Astyanax mexicanus: one gene and its partner. The protein of the gene in region 2 purifies or fractionates together with the protein of the main gene of each other region. This does not show direct contact. Links are inferred from orthologs where the notes say so. Each region holds a gene or a part of one and is shown on either strand. Other genes may lie near its edges.

The links. Proteins that work in one complex are often made in the same cells at the same time.
Region 1: the proteins of hsd17b10 (region 2) and trmt10c purify together in Homo sapiens (co-immunoprecipitation; 3 studies listed by BioGRID and IntAct, counting the BioPlex papers as one, with this or other methods). This does not show direct contact. The link is inferred for Astyanax mexicanus from reciprocal best matches to the Homo sapiens genes HSD17B10 and TRMT10C.

What each region holds. Positions count from the first base shown.
Region 1 is NC_064428.1:8,572,689-8,579,677, reverse strand, and holds trmt10c (tRNA methyltransferase 10 homolog C), read right to left. Parts: upstream 2,822-6,989; 5' UTR 2,382-2,821; coding exon 855-2,381; 3' UTR 519-854; downstream 1-518. Other genes in the region: txnl4b (thioredoxin-like protein 4B), read left to right, coding at 3,973-4,104, 5,404-5,555, 5,916-6,081. UniProt on the Homo sapiens protein: Mitochondrial tRNA N(1)-methyltransferase involved in mitochondrial tRNA maturation. Component of mitochondrial ribonuclease P, a complex composed of TRMT10C/MRPP1, HSD17B10/MRPP2 and PRORP/MRPP3, which cleaves tRNA molecules in their 5'-ends.
Region 2 is NC_064420.1:33,488,962-33,496,622, reverse strand, and holds the start of hsd17b10 (3-hydroxyacyl-CoA dehydrogenase type-2), read left to right. Parts: upstream 1-4,654; 5' UTR 4,655-4,731; coding exon 4,732-4,755; intron 4,756-7,086; coding exon 7,087-7,251; intron 7,252-7,455; coding exon 7,456-7,620; intron 7,621-7,661. UniProt on the Homo sapiens protein: Mitochondrial dehydrogenase involved in pathways of fatty acid, branched-chain amino acid and steroid metabolism. Acts as (S)-3-hydroxyacyl-CoA dehydrogenase in mitochondrial fatty acid beta-oxidation, a major degradation pathway of fatty acids.

The DNA of each region.
Region 1 (6,989 bases), on a different chromosome or scaffold from region 2:
CATTGTAGATTAATATTGAAGACATAAACACTATGAAGAAACTCATGCACAGTTATGAAGCAAACATTTTCCTATACTTACAACTTTGCCCACTTTTGGCTGATTTTTTCAGTCTGGTTCATATGGTAGAACCTGAAATGGTTCTCCAACTGTTTCAAAAGAGGTTCTAGAGATGCTGAGCTCTTGTTAACTGCTTTTCTTTCACTCTAAGGTTCAAGTTATCCCAAAACACCTGGGTTTGCACTTGTGTTCGGTTTTAGTTTATAAATCTTCTACATTAATCTACAATGTAATAAATAAACCAATAAAGAACAAAAAAATAATAAGAATGTTTTTTTTTTTTTTTACTGTAAGATATACAGTGCAAGTCAAATGTTTACCACACATTCTAAAAATGTTTTGTTTTGTGTTTTTACTTGATAAAAAATAATTTTAAATTAAATTCAAATCACATCTATTTGATTTAAAACAAAATAACAAAAACATTGTTAAAAACGTATGAATTACATCATTAAATGTTGCAAGATTATTCATGTAAATTTTATTTAAAAAAAAAATAATAATATTCAAATGCATATGTCAGCTTTTAAGCTCTAAAGGCACGGACTCACTGGTCATTTGAGACAGTAAACAAACTGGCTACATTTATAGTGTGACCACTGTTAAACACATTTCAAACTTTATCTATACCTCTGTACAAATGTAACACTCAATGAAATTTCTTTTGAAGGTTTACCGATAGTTAGACAATAACAAATTTACTGCCAAATTAATTTTTATTCAACTGATACATTCCATTATTTTCATTATTAAGCTATACACAACAGCAAGTCTTTGGTCTCAGAGTCAAAAGTTTATGTTCTTTTCGACCACTTCTTCTTTTCCCTCATAGCTCTACTGTGTTCCTCTATTTTGCTTTTTAGTCCAGTCCGTAATCTGGTCTGTCCAAACATCTGCTCTGATTTAAACGCTGGTTTCTCTTCTGTCTGATTCCTTATCCTCCTTTTGCTCACGAATAGTGGGGCTCGATCTCTCTGAGACCCGCTGTATGTGGTTGCTGTTGCTCTGAATGGTGCTGTATATGGAGCACTTGTAACATCAGGAACACTGTTCTCAGTTTTTTGCTCGTAGAAGCCACCGTGCTTCCTTATGGGCACGAACTCCAGAGCCTTCTCCCAGCTGCCGGTCTCCTTGATTGTTATCAGGATCTGGATCATCTGGTCCAGGGTGAGGTTCTTGGCTCCGCAGTCCCATTGCAGGTGCTCATTCAGAGGCAGACGAGCAGTGGCCAGCTTGAGGCGCTTGGCGTTGGCCAGGGAGACTCCGGACTGGGCAGAACGGTCCACAAAGGCTCCTATGATGTACACCTTGTTGTGGTCGAAGGTCCGGAGAACGTTTGGAGAATCGGCAGTGAGGTAGACAAGGTTCTCACGGGGGAAGATGTCTACGTGCCGCTGGCTGGTGGTGGTGATGAAGAGGCGTTCCCAGGTCTCCTGGCCATAGCGCTTGAGAAGCTCCTGATGGTAGACGCTGTTGGGCTGCAGGTTGCAGAAGTGCAGGTGGAAGGGGTCCACAGATCGTCGGTTCCAGCCTTCACACTGTAAAAGCTGGGAGACGGTGTTCTTCGCGTCGTGACTGGACATGTGCTGGTCATAGCTCATGTCAAAGACCAGTGGCTGACCGTACTGCATGGCCTGCGCCGATCTCCAAAATAGGAGTGTATCCAAGGATCGAGACCAGAACTTCATCAGGAAGGTATTTTTTAACTTGACATCAGCTTTGCTGTCGACATCGACCCCTTCACGGTCTGCCCTCTCCATTCTCTCTGCCATCTTTTTCTCCTTCTTCTCCATTTTGGCCTTCTTGTATCCCTCCTTGATGGACAAGTGCTTGAGGAACTTCCTCTTGGATGACTTGGTGGTCAACTTGGACAGCGCTTCCATCTGCTCGTCTGTGAGGCTGTCAGGAACCAACCTACCGGCCAGGCGCCACGCGTCCACCAGCATGCGAGTCGCTTCCAAGGGAGAAAGCTTTCCTTCCACCTCCTTGCTCTCATCAGTGGAGGTTTCTTCTTTATCTTCGTCCTCAACTTTATCCTTGGTCTTGACCCTATCTTCCTGCAGAGCCACTGTGCGCATCATTGACTTCCACACATCCAGGTCCAGCTTGGGTCTTGCTTCCTCATCTTTGGGCTGAGGGACATCTTTCCTCAGGATCCAGGTGGTGCTCAGAGCACGGCTGGAAGTAAGTGCTGAGGATGGAGTGGAGATGAAGCTGGATGTGGGCAAACCAGAATAATGACATTTTAGAGCTGCTGAAGATGAGGGGCGGCCGCAGCACCTCCTCAGGACCCCCACAACCTGCAACCTGAGGAACGTCATGGGCAAAACTCCACTCCACAGCACAGGGCAGCGCTCCACAGCACAGGGAAATACTCCACTACACTCCTCAGGACAGGGCAGCACTTCACAGCACAGGGCAGCACTTCACAGCACAGGGATAATCCACTCCACAGCACTCCTCAGTACAGGGCAGTACTCCACTCCTCAGGACAGGGCAGCACGGGTGTTTCAGTTAGTTAGCTATGGCAGGCTAATGAGCTAGCTAGCATGCTAACATCACAGGATATCAGATAAAGCAGAATAACCGGCCACTGCTGAGGACTAAATGCAGGGCAGTTAAGCATACCGGGCTCCTGACTGAAGCACTCAGAGGCGCTAATCTCACTCTCTCACTCCATCACTGCCTAAAACTCACTCCTCCACACCTCGCTCCCTTCAAAGTCACGTTGAAAAAACAACGCACACACTATTCCCGCCGTGCTGAAACACACACTACAGACAGACGTTCCGCATTTCGCGGTTCCCCATCCTTCAATGCCCATTTTTCCGAGAACATGAATAAAAATATGTTGTGCACCTTCTAGGCATAACGTTAGCCCATCTGGATGCTCTCCCAGAATTAAGAGAGTATTTTTAAGATAATATCTGTGAACAATTCTCAACCTACACTTAGAGACTTCATCCCTCCACGGTGCAAACAAAACCTCCTTATATTTCTCATATTTTTTTTTAAGGAAAAGTGTAAAATATGTAAATCACTGTTATATAAAAAAAGTTTTTTTTTCAATCTCTATTATCCCACTTAAAAAACTTAAAACAGTAATAACTTCTAAGTATTAAATGAATGTCATTATACTCTCAGTCCTTATTTGACCTACATTATTATAAACACATCTTGGTAAACTTGATAAATAAAAAATGATACATTCATACTTTGAAGCCTTATTTTTCTTTTTGTTTGTTTGTGTTTTTGTTTTATTTTAGTATAATTTACAGTCACTCACTATTAGTTAATGAGAACAAATTCGTTCGTTTCCCCTCCCAGCGTCTTTTGCAATAGGCAGAAACAACACTAGGCCAGTTTAACCATCCATAAACACCACAGCATAAAAATATACAAAAATAAATCAAGCAAACAACAAAACTAATAAAAAAAACATGCTTTAAGTCTAAAAAATGAGCATTCCAAAAATAACAAGAAAACACACAATAAAACCATTTTCGGTTTTTACTTGTTTGCAGAAAATACATACATGGCTAAAGAAGAATATATCATTTAAAAAAGAGAATACGGAATTTAAAAAAATGTTTCTAAAAGTGAAGCAATTGGGTGTTTTATTAATTTCTTCTTCTCTTTTGTATTTTCATTAATTCTACACTATTTTTTATTTTGTGATTATTTAATATTGTATATCAACACAATTAAAAGAAAAAGCGATGTGGTAACTAAAGTTTGCAGATAATTATATATAATTATATAGGTTTAAGTAGATTAATATATTGTATTCTTGTGTATAATACAGAGTGTAGTTCCGGCGTGGGCCTGCAGGGGGCAGTATCTCAGTATTTCAGTAGCTGAGTGCTCCGCGAGCTGAGAGTGCAGCAGGTTCATCTGCTGGTTTGAGTAAATATGAGTTTATTTCTGCCTAAATTAAGCAGTAAGAAGGAAGTGGACGAGGCTGTGAAGGCCGTGGCGGAGAAGGTGCTGGTGCTTCGGTTCGGGAGAGACGAGGACTCTGTCTGTATGCAGCTGGATGAGATTGTAAGTGTTGTTTTATTGGGTTAGCCTGTTAGCTTAGCATCTCTAAAGCTATGGCCAGTGTTTACACATGTAGCCTAGCATTCAGTTCAGCCTGAACCACCCCTGTCCTAATTACACATCAGCTTTAAACATGTTTATTTATAGGTATATGTTTAGATAAATTGAACATAAAACGGACATTTATTTTCAGAAAATGAGAAATGGCTGAAATAAAAAAGAGACAGTGCTTTCTGACCTCAAACAATGGCAAGAAAACAAGTTCATATTCATAAAGTTTTAAGAGTTCAGAAATCAATATTTGGTGGAATAACCCTGGTTTTAAATCACAGTTTTCATGCATCTTGACATGTTCTCCTCCACCAGTCTTACAAACTGCTTTTGGATAACTTTATGCCTTTACTCCTGGTGCAAAAATTCAAGCAGTTTAGCTTGGTTTGATGGCTTGTGATCATCCATCCTTCTCTTGATTATATTCCAGAGGTTTTCAATTTGGTAAATTTAAAGAAACTCTTGAAGCTATACAAGGTCATCTCAAAAAGTTACTTTATTTCAGTAATTTGATTCAAAATATTAAACTCATATAGATGTATTATACACAGAGTGATCTATTTTAAGCGTTTACCAAAAATCAGTGTCTCAGAAAATTAGAATATTATATAAGATCAGTTGATACTTTTGGCAGTGTGGACAGTGTGCCAAGTCCTGCTGGAAAATGAAATCTGCATCTCTATAAAAAGTTGTCAGCAGCAGAGGGAAGCATGAAGTGCTGTAAGATTTTGTGGGAAAACAAAACTGCACTGACTTTAGACTTGATAATAAAACACAGTGGATCAACACCAGCAGATGACATGTCTCTCCAAACCATCACTGATTGGTGGAAACTTCACACTAGACCTCAAGCAGTTTGGACTGTGTGTCTCTCCACTCTTCCTCTCTGGGACTCTGCTCCCGTGATTTACAAATGAAATGTAAAATTTACTGATGGTCAGTGATGGTTTGGAGAGACATGTTATCTGCTTGTGTTGGACCACTCTCACATGCATGAGTTAATATGCTAAACTTTATTTCTGTGGTAGATTTTTGCTGTTACTAAGTTGTTCATTTTTTTTGTTACACTAATTATTTTACACAAAATCAGGGTCTTAGTAAGTTATGTTTATGAATATTTAATGAATTAAAATGACCAAAATAGAATGAAACTACTATTTATACTAAATAAATCATTTTTTGCAGACTTTTGTCTGAAAGTCTCATTAGTGAAGAGCCTTACCAATCTTAACATTCCTTTTCTCGTGGCAGCTTTCAAAAACCTCTCACGACCTGAAGAACATGACCTCCATCTATCTTGTGGATGTGGATAAAGTACCAGTGTACACCCGATACTTCGACATCAGTTACATTCCCTCCACGGTCTTCTTCTTCAACGGACAGCACATGAAGGTTGATTATGGGTAAGTGATCAAGTGGCTCAAATCACGCGATTAGAGCTTATTACTGGTATAATGTCTGAAGGTATGGCTATAGGTGTGTTGAATGTTGTGCCATAAGGGTTTGGGATTTGTTAAAATGCTTTACTTAGATTTCTATGTGCTAAAAAATGCTTTCACTAACGTTGATGCAGCTGTTTTAGGCAAGCAAAATTATTTAAACAAAAGTGTAAAAAAAATACAGAATAATTTATTAAATTGTGCCAAACAATGTGTCATTTATTTAGTCATATTGCAATATTTCCTCTAACATTAGGATTGTTGTAAGCAGCAGTGGCACAGTGACCCACACTTGTGCTAATATTGTGCTCTGTGTTCTTCCAGGTCTCCAGATCATACCAAGTTTATTGGATGTTTTAAAACCAAGCAAGACTTCATTGATCTTATTGAGGTGATCTACAGAGGAGCCATGAGAGGAAAACTAATCGTCCAAAGCCCCATCGATCCAAGAAACATACCTAAATATGATCTGCTTTACCATGATATATAAATACTGGTGTCACTATAACATGGAGCAGAGCTGGGCACAAACTGACATGCTACAATAATAACTTTTCTGGCAACTTTACATTTCATGGTACCTACTAGAGCTGCATGGTGCATTGACATTGCAATATATATTTCAAAAGAGGTAAATGATTCAACATTTCATAAAAATATTAATAGTGCACTATGTGTGCAAAGTAAATAAATAAATAAATACATTTGAAAATATATGACCTTGCATGTCATGCGATGTGACATCAACACTGCAATGATATTTTGTGCAGCTCTAGTACTAAATGCATTCATCTACCTATAGATGCACCCATTGCTAGTATAGCCAATGGAATAGGTCTTTCTAGAGCAGGTGAACATGAACCTGTTGGCATCATATCTAATGCCATTCATTGTCTAGTGGGCCATTGAACTGTGTAGCAATGGAACACCATTTTGGAATGATGAAGCTCCATCCAGTATTATTAGAAAGGGATGAGTTGGGGAGTTAAAGATGAGGTGGTATAAAATTGAATTAAATATTATTTTGCAAAGGCCAGGTGTTCAGTTGTGCCCTACTCCGCTCCGCTCCATTTTCCTTCATTGCTGTATCGCACCAATTAGCCATAGCATTAAAACCACTTTGCCCATTATTACGTAGAGTCCCCCCACCACAGCAGATCTGACCTGTGTAAGTGTCCTGTGATATATGGCACCAAGATGGCATGAGAGACACTTTAAAGCCCCTGGAAACACAATTGCATATATTTATTTATATAGATATTTTTGTATATTACTAAACCTTGGGTGTTATGCACTCTGCAAAGTTAAAATATGAAACAAAGCAGAAATATGATAAAACCCTCCTGAAATACAGCCTGAGGTGTGTAATATGTACATCCCAGGGAGGGATAGGGGCCA
Region 2 (7,661 bases):
ATGACTTGGCATGTAACGGTAGCTGTAACGTTCAAGGCTTCAAGTATTGCTATGCGGATATTAGCTAGATGGACGTGTCCTCATGTTCCCCTACACACTGGGTGGATGTGGCTGGCTAGGATGAGTCAGTTAAAGTTGACACAGAGACATGCCCTTTTACCACAGACACAGTTAACCTAACGCTATGTAGGGGGCTGGCTACCTTAACTAATTAACTTCACTACACAGGTATCTAGCCTAGCTCTTTGTCACGTTTAAAACCTTAAATGTACGAAGCACATTAGCTAAAAAAAACCTTACATTGTCTGTAGACAGTGAGAGAGGGAGAGGTTCTGAATAAACAGGCTTCAGTGGGTGTTGTACTTCAGAAGAATACTTAAATCAGTTAAATTGTTCTAAACTGTAGGTTTACTGTATGTTAAAGTTTTAGCTACCTAGGTTAACCCCTTAACAGGCCAGGATTTTGGTCAATGGTCTGCCTGACATTGCACCACTAAATCTTAATGATTTCTATTCAAGCATTACATAAAAAGCTTTCATGATTGATAAGGAACATTACTGAAAAGCATAATTGTAATTGTAATAGACAATATACAAAAAATATTCAAGTAAATCGGCTAATGTCAAAATATAATGAGTAAAATCATAAAATTGGCTCCTCCCTGAACTTCATTTTAAAATCAACATTTTCAACAGTTAATTCGCTCCTAACCTTTAGTTTCATTATATTTGTCTAGTCTTTACGTACATTTTCAAACATGCAGAATTTGGGTTGATTCCTGTTACTGATCTGAAATTATTAAGTGGGGTAGAGAGTTAACAGGCAGCTTCTCCAAGTGTCCTGTAGGCGATTTCAAAGCCCTTAAATTTTTTAGAGTGTAAATACATTATTTTACTGCAGAAAAAGAGGGTTTTGTATCACCTACACCTGTAGCCTGTATACAGGATAAGGCATGTTAAAGGGTTAACGTGGATCTGGGGAATATGTCAAACTGTTTTAGAAAAAAGTTTTTTAAAAAAGTGATACAAGCTCTAACGAATTATTAGTTAAGTATCCAATACAAATATTTTCTTAGTTAGCTAGCACATTTCCATTTTATATATTCTGTTTAAGAGATTAATTATGTTTAATTGACTAGTAATCTACAGATCCGTAAAGCCACTTTGTCTAGACACATTATCAAGGCCACATATTCTTGTAATGTAATTGTGTCTAGTTATATGTTAACGTTTAATTTACACGCAATCTCAATTTCTTATTTATAATAAATATAACTTTTCCCCCAAAATTGAGAAGATACATATGTCCAAAAGAAGGGTGTTCCACTGGGAAAGTGTCAGTGCAAGGAATGAGTGACACCATGCTTTAGATGCAATCTTGGAATTGTCTTGTTACACAACACAAAATGGTTCTCAAAATGCGGATGGATGGCCAAGATCTAGCAATATTTGCTTTTGACAGATATATAGGCATATATAACAGATTGTTGCAGCTCAGTGATTATTAAGAGCTGTAGGAGTGCAGAAACTCTTCTCAGAAACATGCATCTGATCCAAAGGTATTAGACTTGTCTACATAGCAGTGTGAAAGAGTGGCTTGAAGAACCTTATGTCCTTGATGAATGAAACTGCAGCAGTGGGTTTGTTGTCTCATCTAAGGTTTAGACATCGTCAGGCACAACTCAAGATGTATTGAGTATAAAGCCTTCTGTCATTCCTTGATGAGTAGTACAGCCAATCAGGCCAGCCTTTGGTGCCATAGTGAAAAGTATCAGACATCATTGTGAAACTTGTGGTGGCTTAGACTTGATACAAGGACAGACTTTTTCAATGGCCGCTTTAGAAACTGCAGATGTTGCCTTGATGGGTGAGTCACTGACTCTATGGTAAAGATTTAAAACATCTTGACTTCTGACCTCCTAGTATGTTGGTAAAAATCTTCCTTTTGCATTTATTGCAAGACGAATCAGTATAAAATGTATTACTGTACTGTGTAAGTTATCTCCTCTGTGTGTTCTGTCTTAAAGTTTATTTGGGATCAATATGATGGTCCTTGAGTCTGGGGTGGAATGATTTGATTTGTTCAGTATAGCTCCAGTGGTTGAGGTGTGCATTGCTTACTTGCTCAGGTTATGTGTTGCTTTTTAAAAAGCTAAGCGATATTTTGAAAGATAGCACATTTAAGTCTGTATGTATGTGTAATGATGTAATGATTGTAGTCCACATTTTAAACAATGTCATATTAAATTTAGTTTTAATTCCTTTTTTTAAGCTTTGTATCTTTATAGGGTTTAGTACTCAGTGTCTTAAAGTACTGAAGAATGCTTGTACATTTAGAGACCCAGGCAATCAGTTTGCGATGCTCTTTCAGATATAATGGAAATGCTCTTATTAATTGCAACAATACCATATTCATGTTCAGACATTAACAGCCTTAAAATTGCTCTGTGTTTTGTTCCTCAATAAATGACTGGTTTTATCATGTGTCGATTTCTTTGTGTAGGTTTCAAGAAGCTTTGAAGTTTGTCAAAAAATCGCTTGGGCTTTGGTTGGTAAGTATTATTAGTATTTTTTGAATCTCCTAAAACTGCTATACTGCTACATTACATGTGTACTTTTGCAGATGACAAGGAAGCTGATTTTCAGCCCAAGGCTAATGTGGTCTTAATGAGTTGTGTTTGAGTGTTTGTTTTATGCAATGTTCTGACATGTCTGCTAGAGAAGCCAGTTTGAAATAATGACCAAAAAAAGCTGTGTCAGATGAATGGAAATATTATAGAGCTAATTTCTTAACCAATGGAATTCTATTAGGTGAATGTTAACTTGGATTATACAGCAGTAGAAGAAAAGGCTCTTGTGTTTTTCTTAAATTAAGTGAATGTCTTGAATATACTGTATATAATATCCCTATTTCTTCTCTTTCAAGGTTGTGAGCTGTGTGCTGCTGCAGTGCTGGGAACCGTGGGCTGCAGTGCTGGGAGATGTGGGCTGAGGTAGTAGTTTGTATAGTTTGGGATCACACCAGATCTGGGAGATAACTATACAGTCTACTGTCTTTCTCACAGCTTCTGCTTTACTTCATGCTCTACTCACAGAAATTCTGGACTCTGAAGCTGTGTTACTTTACAGTTTGTGGTTGTGTGTGGCTTTGTTGTGCTGAGGTAGTAAGTTGTGTTGTTGTGGGGACATTGTATTATTTGCCCCGACTGGAGATAACTATACATCTTACTGCCTTCCACACTGGAGTCTTTGTACCCCTATGACTTTATTCAGAATGTAAATTAATTTTGGTTGTTTAATTTGCTATTATCAAGCACTGCTGTATACTTATTTCATGTATTTGATTTGATGTAATGGCCTTCTTCTGATTTTGTCTTCTGTTGTGAAAGTATTAATAAACACATTTTATGAATGAAGCTGTGCCTTTTGTGTGTGTGCCTCAATGTATTAGTTATATACAGTGATCACACCCCAGACCAGCTGGTCATCTAGAAAAAACATACCCTATGCTGGTTGGCTAGCTCGCTAACTAGCTCTTGACCAGCACAGGGTATGGTTGGGTTTTATTATTTTTTTAATTATTTCTCTGTATGACGAGCTGATTTTGGGGCTGGACTATTTAGCAGGTCGTAGATCTTATATGGGGGAAGCAGGAGAAAAATGGTATGAAAAAATTGTAATACCTGTTGTAAAGAAATACAACAGGTTCAGTTTGTGTATCTCCAAGGCTCTGATCTAAAGGCTGCATAAAGCCTGGTAAATTGGTGTGATGAAACACAAAAGGTGGTATATTGCCTTTTGATGGCATTTGGCTGGTGTTAAGAGAAACTTGCATTTATCTATGTTACAGATTTAGGCAAATGTAGCATAGCCATAGTCTGCCACAATAGGATGTTTAGTTGTTTTAGTGTTCTGGGTCACTTGCTGCTAAATAAATGAAGAGGCTATGAGTGCAAGTGAATAATTTTAATCCATAAAAGTCCAGACCCATTTCTAAATAAATACACCATATTCTAAATCGAATCACATAAATTCTATGAGCAGCTCATTCATGTTTTTTTTTTCTTCTTGTGAGCAAATGATTAAATATTTTAAGGTTAAAATCCTGATGTAATGTTAATGACATAACAATTGTATAGCTTTTATTTTATTTTTATTAAATCAGTTTAGAAATTGTTATATGGATTGTGGAACACTTCATTAAAGCATTTAAATTAATGAATTGATCGGGAAAAGAGCTGTAAAAGCCAATAATACTTTTTAAAAAGGAGCTATTTTTATTAATGTGAGATGATCACACACGTTCACACACTGTCCTGTAATGATGCTCTTAAGATGTTCAGTATTTTAAAGTTATTTAGTGAGTGAATTACGTGAACTTAAAAACATGACGGACGAAGTACTTTAAGGAACTTTACACAAATTTTAAAGTGTCTATTTTTGGGTTAACTATAATAAATGTCAAAAAAAGTAAGTTCATGTCTGAGACTCAACCTAGCAAATAAAAAAAACTTGAAGGCCATGGCCAAGTTTCCCTGACATGACCTTAAGATTACTGAGCTATTATCTGATTGGCAAACGCGCGTGTCAATCAAATCAAACTTAGCCAATGGAATAAGGGGCGTTGGTCAAATCCACCTTTCTGATTGGTTAGTAACTCGTTTCCGTGGAGTTTTGTGCAGCTCCTGCCGTGACGTCTTTCCACAGCACCGCCTGCGCAGTGTGGCGAACATGGCGAACATCAGAAGTGTCAAGGTGAGAAACGGATTGAAAGAAAAGAGAGAACATATTACTCCTCGTGAGTTGGATAGTCTGTACATTAATAGAAATGCCTGGTTGCTGTCTAACGCATGGCGTTCTGTAGTAATAGCGCTGGCCGGTGTGCAGAAGTTTTAGCTCGCATTTGTGGCTAAAACGAGGCTGAAGTTATCCGGATTTTTCCGTTCCACCTTAAATAGTGTCTCTTTGGTCAACGTTACGCTGTGACCTATATGAAACTGTCTGTATGGTAGAATGGGGCTGCTGAACTATTTAAGGTGGAACGGATAATTAGGACAAGATACGAAATACTGTTTTATATGTGGTACTTTAGCAGGTTATTGCACGCCCCCTTGAGCCTTGGTCCACTTTGGCAGTGTTTTATTTATTGTGATATGAATTATTATTTACTATTCAAGAACTAAATACAACTGAACGCTAAGAAAAACAACCAAACGTTAAATACGTTAGCTAACTTAATACTCATTGCTACCCAGTAGTTCGCGAACGTGTACTGTAGGTAATTAAAATACTGGCTATTTTCCAGGTCTTACATAAAACGAATTAACTTAACTAGTTAGCTAAACTCGCCTCATTCTTTGATAATGCTGTTGTCTGTCAAGCTAACGTACCTGGGACCAGTTTCTCACACAATAAATAAGCCTAGTACTAGCTAGACCATGTCTTCCTTTCTATGGAAACATTTCCATTCAAACTGTGTCAACATGTGTGCAGATCAATACTTGCCTTAAAGGAGAACTCAGGTGTGAAATGGACTTGTGTTGTAGTGAAACATGATAAAGAGTACAAACCTTTGCAGAATAGCCCACCTCCCATTCAGCCCCAGCATTCCCAAATACAGCACTTTTAGCCAATGCTCCCAACAGGCTTACACTACTAGCAATAGGGGCATAGAGTTGCCCTTGCAAAAAAATCTGTATTTTTACACCATTAACTAGCTCAAAATAGCTCCTCACTTCATTGGTAGAATTCTGAGGGTCCTCATTTTTAAACCTAGGCACTGAGAACTTTAAAAGTGCACAGGTAGTTAACGTGTGGTCCCCTGTTATCAGCTGTACCCCTATGATCAGCCAGTTCCGCAGTTTCCTTTCCCTCGCTGACAGTTGCGTTAAGGGAATTTAAAACATGTCAGCTTCAGCTTTAGACAAACACTTAAACTTTATTCTCACAAAAAAATCCTGTCACAAAACATTATTTAAGTATTGCTAACATTTTGTAAATCTCCGTGTAAAAAAAAAAAACTGTGTGGAGCACGCACAGCATTTCTGTATTGTGCTGTCTTTTTTTTTTTTTTTTAAAGATCAGTATTTAGGGTCCCTAAAAAGCGAACAAGGGTTTCGTCTTGTTTTCCTCACGTAATCAGAGTTTGAATTCCCACATAGGAAAAATGCGATGTCATTATACACCATTGGAAGCCGCCGAATCACATAGGCACAGTGCTAAAATGCCATGCCTCCAATAGGCGGGGCAGGCAAAGACGCGGTCAACACAAATAAGCCCAGCGATTCAAACATATGCATAACTATATACATAATCAGCCACCAATATCATGAAAGAGTTGTTATTTTTTAAAATAAAACCTAAAGTATACATATTTCCAGCTAAGCGAAATGTAAGGTCGGCGATAATAGAGGACCCTTGTAATTCTGCAGGTCTTGCCACTGGAGGTGCCTAAGTAACCAAAACTAATTCTAAAAAAAAAAACCCCAAGTCAAACGAATACTGAATGTTATTCTACACACATTTCTCTCCTGAAAACCGTTCATTTGGGTGAGTAAAGCGCTGCAGTTTATTTACAGTAAACAGATTACAGATTTCCAATGTTTTGATTCATATGACCAGTTATTAAAGGCCATCATGCTAGTTTATAAAGAATACTGTTTATATATAAAAATTACTTTGATAAGTTGACTGATTTAGCACAAAGTAGGATGGGAGAACAGATTTCAAAAATGCGTGAATATTGCAGAAATATTTACAGCAGCAGCTGGAATTCATGCATTTCCACAGAATTAAAGAAAATTAAATACTTTGTGCTAGTTAATGGTGTAAAAATAGCCATTTATTTGCGTGAATGATGCTATGCCCCTATTACTAGCATTGTGAGTCTGTTGGGAGCTTTGGCTAAAAGTGCTGTATTTGGCAATGCTGGGGGTGAACGGAGGTGGGCTGTTCAACAAAGGTTTGTTCTCGTTATCATGTTTCAGTAAACCCCAGGTTCATTTTCACAACGGGGTTCTCCTTTAATCCCACATCGTTTTCTACTTTTTAATTGTAATATATCTGTGTGCTCGCACTCTGGTATAGGGTATGGTGGGTTTGGTTACAGGAGGTGCCTCAGGTCTGGGAAGAGCCACAGTGGAAAGGCTACTCAGCCAAGGGGCCAGTGCTGTGATCCTGGACCTGCCCAGCTCAGACGGACACAAGGTGGCCACAGAACTGGGGGGCCACTGTGCTTTTGCTCCAGCTGATGTAAGTACAATACGGCATGACAAGAACCTACAAAATGCTTTCCCCAAGGACAGTTTTTTAAAGATTCCCCTCCACCTTAAATCTGCATCATCTTAACTCATATAGAGATGTCATTCTCAAGTGACTATTTAAGTCTAGCCTATTTAAATCTAGCCAGTATTAATCATAAGTTTCACCAGAAATAATGTCTCTCTCATGATTCAGGTAACATCAGAGTCAGATGTACAGGCAGCTGTGAGTTTGGCTAGGGAGAAGTTTGGCCGACTGGACTTGGCGGTGAACTGTGCTGGCATTGCGGTGGCTGCCAAGACGTACAACTTCAGAAAAGAGATCCCTCACAGTCTGGAGGACTTCACTCGGGTTATCACTGTGAGTACTAATCATATTCACTGCTGCTACTGCCTGTACGA